Drosophila melanogaster: one gene and its partners. The protein of the gene in region 2 interacts with the protein of the main gene of each other region in a pairwise test. Each region holds a gene or a part of one and is shown on either strand. Other genes may lie near its edges. The genes, in order: CG34353, CG14634 and Sox15.

Region 1 (3,759 bases), on a different chromosome or scaffold from region 2:
CATTTAAATAGGATTGACAATGATGAGTTTTAATGCATTTTTTTTTCAATTGAATTTCAAAGCAGATTTAAAAAACAATGTGCCCTACCACCGCAAAATGATCAGCAAGCATTCATAATTTATACGGATATCAATCGATTAAGCTCGACTGGCATATTATGCGAGTAAACGAACTGTGATTGTCACATCGAGAGATTTGGTTTTCCTTTTGGATTTATGCCATTTCAATCAGATCCGCTCGGTGTTTTTGCAACTGGCGCATAATTGTTTTCTATATAAACTGCATTTTTACAATGTTTCAAACCTTTTGCAATTTGCAATTGGCCATGGCCAAAGCCTATGGCAAAACGGCGATTTATGGGTGGAAAAAATGATAAACTGGCAAACAAAACGAAATAAAATAGAATTCTCGCAGCCAATTGAAGTGCGAAAACACATCATACATATTTTTAATTAATTGTTAAAAAATACAAACAATAAAGCAGCGACAAGGAATACAAGCAAACAAAAAAAAAGGCAATCGTATAGCTTTATTTTATATTAATTATGCAGCTGAATGATTGCAGCACAGGCATTTAAAATGCAGCCAGAGCGGCGAAACAAAAACAATGACTCCAATTAAATTGTGCAATTGCCTTATTTTTCTTAATGCCACTCGTCAATGCAGCGCTCTATGTATGCGGATGTGCATATGAATAATTGTATTAAGGATGACTCCACTTTCAACAGGTGAAGGGGACTTACCTCGCACCAAAATTTCCGGATTATTGTTTCCTGTCGGATTTTTGGCTCTTTTAGCCTGACTAAGCACTTTGACCCGATTGTTTATTTGCCTTTCCTCGCTTTATTAATGGCTGTGTTTTGGCTTGGCACACACACCGTCTATGGCGTTTGCTTATGTTTGGGGATCACTGGAGCACGGGATATGTCACTTTAGTATGCCCAGCGATGCTGCACCGCCTGGGAGTCCTAATTTAAAATGCCGCACAATTTTCCGAGTGCAAATATTTAAATATTTAATTTGCCGGCGCTGATTGTTTACGTTTGGTGCCGTTGTTGCGGCTGCTGGTATTTTTCACTCTTAATTTAATTAAAAATCTTCGTCTTGCTGTCGCTTTCGGTTGCGTTGTGGTTAATCACAATTTATGGCAATGTGTATGCGCCAGTTTGATGGTGCTAGAATCTTGCCCAGCGGTGTAGGCCCAACGGTATTTCGCGAGAGAGCGGAAAATTTTTGGCGAAGCGAGAGAGCGCGCGTAGGTGCCAAAAAACGGTAAAGGGACGACGCGAGAGGAGCAGTTTTTATAACCGAAATCCCGAACCGCGATTTGGTTTGCCGGTTTAAAAAGCCCGAAAACTTACGGAAGGTTTGGTTTGGTTTCAGAATGATAGTTGTTTACTTTCACTTTACTAACACTTCTGTTTCAAAGTATTTTAGAGTTGATTTCTCTCTAGCGGTTTCCTCAGTGACTTCAATTCAATTCACTATTAATTATAAAGTACCGCGAGTTCGATTTTCGACTTAAACTTGTGCAGATTCAATTTAAACACCTTTTTTTCGGTGGCAGTGGGACGAGAGCACACAACCGTTTGCTATCGCGTTTCGAATAGGACTGAAGACCGTACGATTCGTTCGTCGTAGGTCGCACGAGTACGGACGAATGGCACGTCGGCAACCACTCGTTGATTCAACAGTTAGCCGAGCGAGCACGACAGGATGGGAAGGGGGGAGTTTACGAACGACCCGCACAATGTAATTGGTATTAGAGCCTCTTCTGGCGCGTGTGGTTGTTGCTGTTGCTCTTTTTGTTTGCTGCCGTTCGACAGCCGCAATCGCAATGAATGTGTGCCACAAGCGAAGAGAAAATTTCTCGCCGCAGAACTAAAGAGAGAATATAGTGGGCGGCTTATGGAACCCATTCGCGGCGAGATAGTAGGAATAGTAGTACTTATGTTCCAGTTTTAAGCATTTGTAAGATATTTTATTTCAGTTTTTAACAAAATGAACTACTTATGTTTAAAATAATAATGCAGGTGTATGCATTTATTTTATAAGTTTTTTTTTCATGCATAGCAATTTTAATATTTATGATATCCTTTAATGTCTTTAACTGTGTTCATTTTAGTTAACCTAATTTTAAATGAGATACCGCTTTCAAATCGCATCTAAGGATACGAAAGCTTAAAGCTTTCTGCAGCTTTACTTTAAGTGGGAAATGTTCTCTTGATAAAAAAGGGATATTTTCTCTTAGCTCGAACTGTTTGGTTAACTATATTTTTATAACTCTAATATTTTAAAGTTTTCTTTAAAGAAAATATAAGAATATTTTTATAATATAAACAAAACCAATTGGCATAAACGAACAATGTTTATCTTTTCATTACTTTGAGCAGCAACCTAGTGTACAAATATGTAGTGTTACATCTGGTAACATCTTCCAAAACCCTCAAAACTTCACCACGCCATGATGTTTATTTTGGACTTCTTGTTTCCCCCAAATATTTGAAAATTCCAAAATTAAGTAAGAAACTCTGCTAATTGACAGCTTTGTGGTGCGTCCTTCTGTCCATCGGAGTTCTGTGTTATTTATAGTTGTTTGCTTTTTTTCTGCTGCTCGTCTCGTTCCATTGGCCATTCTGCCCATTTTGGCCATTTTGGCCATGGACATGAACTTCGACTCGGTTTTGGGCCACATCTTCACGCTTCAAGGCCGACACACACTTGAAATGCGCCCCCAATTCATTTTCTTTTCTTACTTAGGCTCCTCGAGCCAGTTTATTGTTATTTTGGCCATTTCTGTTTTTGTTTTCTGGCAAACTTCTTGTACTGCCATCTGCGAAATGAAGCTTACCGCCCACTAGCCGGCTTCAGAGTGCCAATGGTTACCAGCTCCTTGTTTATCCAGGAGTCGCAGGACTCGCCAGGACTCGCCAGGACTGGCCAGTGTCCAGGCCCAGTTTCCCAGCATCGCCGACAGCCCCAAACTATTTGCCATGCCCCGCTCCCATAATGAATATTTATGAAGATTTAAAAAACATTTTCTTCGCGTCTGTTGTTTTATGATTTGCAAGTGTGCCTTTCGTCCTTTTTTCCTTCTTCCGCCGGAGTGCCGTCAGCTCAATGGCGTGCAAAGTCCTCTGTTTTTCGCCCCAATGACGAGTGCGCCGGAATGCCATCGAGATGTACATTGGACATGTCCCGGGACACGGGACACGGGACATGGACCAGTGGAAAAAGCAAACCACATCCCATGCAACCCACGGGCAAAATCATTCTAAATACGCATCGTGCCATCGCTGCTTTGTCGTTTGTTGTCTCAATCGCTGCAGAGAGCAAAATTGTCAGATATGCACTATAATTTGATTTAGCAAAATAAGAATAAAAACGTATTTTTTAAGTGGAATGTATAAATTGGGAAAAGAGAAACTACGCAAAAATACGATTGTATAGTTTGTGCCATCAAACATAAGATTGCTTTGCTATTGTAAAGAGGTCCTTAGTCCTTAAACAAGGTACTAGAGATATATTTTATTTTATTTATTTTCATAGCTTTTGACAGGTCATCGGTGCAAGATTTTAAAATATCAACCCCTTTTTTTTGGACAGTGCTCATCGGTTTGCTGCTGCTCCTTCTGCTGCTGTTGTTTTCATTTTGTAAATGATTTCATTATGTGCTACAAACGCCCCCATCGATGGCGTGGGTGGTGATGACCATCGCGCTTCTGTTTGCCTGGCTATGGTGATGGTGATGGTCGGGG
Region 2 (3,252 bases):
TTTTTGTAAATCATTTAACACGCTCTCGATTTTTATTTTAATGACATCTTGGCAAAGTTACCCCTAATGGCTTAGGTTGAAGCACTTTGCCAAGGACATAATGTGGAGCCTGCAGACGTATTCGGGTCCTTAAACTCCCGCCCGAAGGCTGTGCAAATTTGTTCGCAGGCGTCACAGGCTGCTCCTGGACTGCATATCCTGGAAGCTAGCTCTCTTCTGCTGTGTGTCCTGTGCGTCCTGTGTGTTAATGATCATCATGAATATTCTGGCATTTGTTTGTTTGCTTGCGCCAGTTTGCTTAGCCAAAATGTTAATATACGCCCAGCCCAAACAGAATTTAACCCTGCGGCACTCGTACGGGAAAACGGCAAAGAGGTCCTGCTAAATATTTGATTAACTTTCCTATGTTCAGTGTGTGTGCGAAATCAACTTAATTAAAGTTAAACAAGCAGCTAATCAAATTTTTATTACACAGTCTTAACCACAAGAATCCTTTACCTCTGTCTCCCGCAAAACGTGGAGTAATTTCATTTTAAAAATGCATACTCCAACAGGGGCTACGTGCGACTCGCGGAGGCGAAAAAGAATTGTCTTCTTGTGCTTTTGGTTTTTGTGGCCAGAGAAAAGAAATAATAGGTACACTCTTTGTGAGAACTAAAAACAGAGTCGGTAGTTTCATTAAATATAAGAGTTTTTGACAAACATCTTTGTAAGTCGTACATTTATGTAGTGCAGCGATACGCTAATCAATTCTGCTAAGATACTATGGATTAGTAATCCTCGATGGAGTCCCTTTTGGGCCACCAGACTTCGCCGTCCCAGGAGCTCAAGGTGCTAGACGTGACTATTCGGTGGGGCAGTGACACTGAACTGGGGCTCATGCTGGGTAGCGATGGCTGGCTGATGGTCACCTGGTTGAAGTAGCCTGGCTCCGTGGATATCACGTTCCCCAGGACGTCCGGCTGGTGCTGCACTTGCCGCTGCTTTCCATTCTTTTGGCAAGGCTTCGATGAGGAGCAGCCGCAGCAGCCAAGTGGGAAGAGAAAGCACATATTTCTGTGGCTAGAAATAATAAGTAGAAGTGCCGAAGATGGGGGAATGTGCCAGGCTGATTTCGTCAGCAGTCAATAAAAGAATTTCCAGGCCAAAGTCAAGTTACCCATCACCTGATGGTTTAGTTCCCACCTGTTAGGGCCCTTTTATTTATGTTGTGCCGCCCGCAGCTTTTAGCTGAAAGGAGAGCTTCCCACTGAGGCAGTGCAACCCAGAGCTGTCTGCTTTTATAGCCGGCGGGTTTGTTGTGGGTACAGTTGTGTTCCCCGGAATCGGACTAGACTGGTGCCCCCCAACAATTGTTTTCGGAGACTCCCATTATGCAAAATGGTGTCACTTATGTTAATTTCACAAATGCCCCGCACTCCAATCAGTATATAGTGCACGCTATCAGGACTATCGGGTTTCGGCGGTTGGAGGGGAGGGAAAAACGGCAGCCGACGACTACCTATTGTATTACCAATTTGCGAATGCAAATCAGGCGCAGAGCGCGGGTTTCACACCAGTTTCGTATTGAATTTAAAGAGTGAGCCATGCGACACTCACATCAAAGCCGATGATGGTGGCTGTGAAAGACGAGATGGACGTGTAGCGAGGAGATCTTCGATGCCAATGCCAGCGCAATGCCATAAGCCATCCAGCACCTGCTTCGGCTGAAGGTGTTCATTTGAACGGATGCTGAACTTCTGCGAAGGGAGGTGGCAAGCGGAGACCCCGCAATGGGACACTCCACGGTCTGCATTTAGAAAAAAAATTCGCTGATCCTCAAGGCACTGCGCTTGGGCTAAAAGACCAACAGCATGTTCTACGGTCTCCAGAAGTCCAGAGAACCTTCTATATGGCCAGCTCCTCAGATGAGAGGGTGAGTTTTCTATGGTCTGCTGGGGTCTGTTTGCTTATCCGACTTGGCAAAAATGCTGCGACCAGCGTCCTCCGTCTCTAACAACTTCAATTTCAATTAGCAGTGCATACTTTCCAAGGGTCGACGACCAAAAAGTTTCTGCACTAATGAGTTTTGTAATTATACGAAAGTTGAAACTGAATACAAAAGCCGAAAAGAACAACCCCATCCCCTTTACTTTGCTTTACATTTATACTTTTATGAATGATTTACGTGGGCAAAGTATTTGTACGGCGATAACAACCCACAGGATGCGGGGTAATTGGTGAAATTGGTGAAAGTGCCGAAAGGGAAAGCAGTTGCCATGATGTCACACAAGTCACAGCGGATTTCCTGTTTAATTCACTTCATTCTAAGTGAAGCGATACACATGTTTCTCTTGACTTAAGCCAAATAAATTTAATGTACACAAAATCCCGTGAAAAAAGTTGCGAATCTCTAATATCAAGAGTACAGCCTTTTCAATCTAAATGTTTACTCTACTCACTTTTCCGCATTTCCCCGAATTCGCGAATATGGCAAACTGGAAAAATATCAATGTCATTTGCAGGCCCATAACGGAAAAACGCAGAGTAAGGCTAAAAGGGGAAAATAAACCAGAAAAACGTACGGAAGGGGGGGGGGGGGTTGGGGTGAACTGACTGGCATTGTTACTCGTGTAATTCTAAAAGTGATGTGTCTGTTCTGGTGGGAGTTTCGTTCCCATGGCCCTGGATTTCTAGGACTGTGCATTGGGGCTCGTCCTTCTCACATGGTCAACCCCATCATTGCGGTTTCAGAACTGTATATTTCGAAGTTCCCATTTGCAGTGTTCGTTTATCTGCGCATGTGTGTGTGTGTGTTTGGGGTGCTTATGGAGATGGGACTTGTTCCGACTTGAGATGAACGAAAAAACGTGATCTTTTCCGGAAGCTCGGAAAGAGTTTGCCCAGCTTAAAACTTCGCTATAAATTTGTTATAGCGAAGAAAGCAGGACCCGGTTAAATCTTTGCTACACAAGCTATTGGTTATGAATAGGGTATCTGCTAGTTCCATAATCTCCTTTGGACCCGCTTTTTTTTTGTTGCCAAATTTTTTGCATGTTTCGCATGTAGTTGGCTCTGGTTTCATGGTTCGTGACAAGCCAAGCGCATAACCACAAAATAGACGCGTGCAAAAGTGGGTGGTGGGTGGATACCGGCCAGATATCCACATAGACAGATAGCCACCCCTGCCCACTCACGGTGTTCCATTTTCATTTTCAATTTGCAGAGCATACTTTGCGGGGCTTTTCGGTTTCTATGCCAATCTGCAATTCT
Region 3 (3,759 bases), on a different chromosome or scaffold from region 2:
GTGATTTTCGGTTTCGAATTTCTTACGAAAAGTGTGTGCGGACTTATCAGAGCTTTTCATCTGTACTTAATTTAATTTCATGGCTTCATTTCCATTCATAATTCCAGCCAATTTGTAGACGGGAATTTCCCGTCGGAAACTACGAAAGTCAGTCAGCTGAAATGGCTAGCTAATACGTATAAAGGGGAAATACTTATATACAGTCATATACTTATATATGGATATTAAAACCTCATGCGTATCTATCAAGCTGTGTAGATCGGATACAAATCTTTATAATGGCCTGACCTCTGGCCGAAATATACCAAATGTTAAGACTTCTTCTCGGTGCGTCGCCTGTGCGTTCTTGGCCTCTGCTTTTTCCCAGGGTCTCCACCCCCGCCGACTTCTCCGGCGTCTTGGTTTACTTTCCACTTGACCAATTTCGAGTCGCGTCCGAAGACGGTTCTTAAGTTATTCGCAGTCGACCATTTACATATTTACGTTTACGTTTACGTTTGCCGAGGGAAACGGAGAGAATCGAGAAGCGGATACGAATACAAGTGCAAGTGCTGCGGGGTCTGAAAACTGGGGCCACACCAAGGAAAATCTAAGCAAATTCCCAGATACTATATACTGTATAACCCCCATATATATATATTTATACATATATAACCGTGCTTTATAGTTGTAGCTTACTGCCACAGTGTGCATTCGACATCCCCGACGGTGTTTCTCGCTGTCGTGCCCGCCGCTAGTATCTTTGTATCTTAGTATCTTAGTATCTGTGATTGTGACTAAGTCTTGAAAAGTCGCAGTCATGGGCCCCCATATATATAAGTATATACATATTTATTGTATATATATATATATGTACGATCTAGAGAATTTCTTCACCACTACACGAGCGCCTTTTCCATTTTTCATTATGGTTATTATCTTGAAGATATGTATCTTCGCTTCGGTTGGATATAATTAAACAGCGAGAAAAAAATTTTAGCATGGGAAAAATGTAAATATTACTTGTAATTTGTTAGCAGATGATGTGGATGTTCGTGATCATATGAGGGTTCCATTTTTATACGGCAACGGCGATGTTCGTGGTAACGGTGACGGTGACGTTGATGTTGTTGCAGTTGCAGTTGTTGCTTCTGTTGTTGTAGTTGTTGCTGTTGTTTTTGCTGTTGCTGACGTCGGTGGTGGCAGGTTGAAATTGGTGTTGTTGTTGTTGTTGTTGGCTTTGCTTTAGCAGGGCCAGCAGCATTTTGCTTAATGTTGCATTATTCCGTTAGTTTTTCCCTTTGTCGGCGGTTCGGGTGGATTGGTGGGTGGTGGCGGTTGGTGGTTCGCTGGTGGTGATGGTGGTGCCACTACTACTGCTACTGATGTCTGCCGGGCCGAGCATTTTTGCCCAGTTACAGTTCCAACCATAAATTTATGTGCCACGGCATGTGTGAATTTGCGTCCATTTGTTGTCAGATTTTGTTTTGTTTGTGGCTCAGAGCCTAACCCACATTTTGGCCACAATTTCGCAATCACCGAGTGATGTAAATATATTTTTGAATCTCACTATTCACTGGTGATTATTTTGAAGATATTGAAAAATACACACTTCAAATTTGGATTTTCGATTGGCACTTGGTGTTGAAAAGATACTTTTCAACACCGGAACGATGTAAACTTTTTATTAAACAGATTGTGTCACTTTTTACATAGTTTTACCGGTATTGATCTACGTTCTTTAAAATCACTTGTTCATTAGTTTTTGGCCCTAAAGCGAGCTGTTTAAAGGTTGACTAACGAACGTATCCGTAGCCTAAAATCAAGGGCTTCGACATTTCACAAGATACAAACAGCGGATAGCGCTCTTGGGAAAATGAAAATTCACGGCACAACAGCAACTACTAAGCAAGTAACTAACTAACTAACTAACAAACTAACTAACTGGGCCTATGTACAGCGGGCCAGTTTGTATGTAGATATATATATATTTATGATTACAGCCCGGGGACGCAGATGGCGATGTCAATGGAGAGCCACCAGAGTCACTACCGAGTTCCGCCGATGCCAGGGCTTGAGTCAGAGTTAAAGGCGAACTGAAAGTCGGAGCCGCATGAACCACGCTGATGACGAACCGCAGGCCAACTGAACTCGACGACCGATCGACGCTCTCGCGAACTGGGGGAACTGTGAGCTGGCGGCTGGCAGCTGGGGAGCTGGGAGATTGTGAACCGAACTGAGGTGTCTCTGCCTTCAGAGCCCGTGCATAAGGCCAAAAAGCGAAAAGCCATAAGCTGAACCTTTCGCGCAGTCTTGAATCGAAACAGCCAGAGAGTGGCGGCAGCGGCAGCAGCAGCAGCTGTTCATCGATGCGGAACGAGCAAGTGGCTCTGGTCCGAGCCCAGGTGACTTGGCCCTGTCTCCCAGACTATGCCGTACCATAGACAAGTATACTTTACCCATAGCCTCCGAACCGAGAGCAGCGGCGAGTTCTTTTGAATCTAATGAAACACAGAGCTTGTTTAATATTCATTCGTTCGTTCGTTCGGTTCGTTTCGTTTTGTTTCGGACTCTCGCGATCTCTCGGTCTCACTTTCAGAAATGTAAAACCTGTTCCCCGAGATCCGTTTGTTGTGGGAGAGACAACTTTGCATTTGGTTTGTTTCAATTGGTGGAGGCCCCCAATGTCGTTGGGGTCCATATATACACAACCGTACGTCTGTATGTGCACATGCATATACTAGCGGATGGGGGGATAGCACCCATACACGGAAGCCAGCGTATGCAAATATCGTAATGTTCGGAACCTCTGGGAAAAGGGTGTTATTTGGATCAAATGGGGCACCGTCTTTCAGAAAGAGAGAGATTTTGCGAAAGATTCGCAAATGTTTAAATTGGCAATCTCTAAGCAAATGGAAAGCAACGAAAGTCATTAATCAAAAGGTGACTAAATGGGAATGAAAGGGATTTTCAGGCAGTTTGTAAAGAGTTTAAACTTACAAAACAATTTGTTAGTAGTAAGTCATACTATCTTGTTCACTATCAAATAGATTTTAACAGAATGTAAATCAAAAAGTAGCTCATAGATACAATATTCATAAATCTACACAAAAACTAATACATTCTCTGATCAGCAACTCAATAGTAACTATACCAACTCTCTTAACATTAAAACAAAGTTCTTATATATTTAATAAAATATATATCATGGAATAGATCACAGTTGAAAATGCTTATCTTAATACCATCTTACTGTCCATTAAGTATCCGCCCAGTGAGCCCAATGCCTTGAAAGCGGCTGTAATATTCAAATAGAGCCATATTTAATTTTTATTTCACTCTCCACCCACCAAAGTTTTTGGGGCCAAGCTGATTGGTATCCAACTGGAGATAAGCAGCCAAATTGCATATTGCAACAACTGCTGCCAGCGAACCGCACAGCCAAGCCCAAAAAATAAAAAAAATCAAAGGCACAAAAAAATCGAGATGAAGATGAGGAGGTAGAAAAGCGACGAACCTCCCAGAAGACGAGTCAAGTACGTTGGCAGGTAAAAGTGCATGCGGCCACGCGCAGGGCATTTAATAATAATAAACTCGTACTCGGATGGGGCTACCTCCATCCCCAAGCCCAGCCGGAGTTCATAATTAAGCGCCAGAATGCCGGGAAAGCCTTCGCTTCCTCTTGCCATAGATGCAAAATATTTGTTTATCACATCGCGATAATTGCCGCCGGCGATGCGAGGCCCAAGTCTTCGCGGATTCGTGGTCGTGGATTCGTCG

What was found.
Region 1: the proteins of CG14634 (region 2) and CG34353 interact in a two-hybrid assay, tested with the Drosophila melanogaster proteins (one large-scale study listed by BioGRID).
Region 3: the proteins of CG14634 (region 2) and Sox15 interact in a two-hybrid assay, tested with the Drosophila melanogaster proteins (one large-scale study listed by BioGRID).

What each region holds. Positions count from the first base shown.
Region 1 is NT_033777.3:27,904,227-27,907,985, forward strand, and holds the start of CG34353 (uncharacterized protein), read right to left. Parts: upstream 1,618-3,759; 5' UTR 745-1,617; intron 1-744.
Region 2 is NC_004354.4:860,592-863,843, reverse strand, and holds CG14634 (uncharacterized protein), read right to left. Parts: upstream 1,237-3,252; 5' UTR 1,186-1,236; intron 1,109-1,185; 5' UTR 1,053-1,108; coding exon 771-1,052; 3' UTR 644-770; downstream 1-643.
Region 3 is NT_033778.4:14,210,286-14,214,044, forward strand, and holds the start of Sox15 (Sox box protein 15), read right to left. Parts: upstream 2,129-3,759; 5' UTR 1,056-2,128; coding exon 1,003-1,055; intron 1-1,002.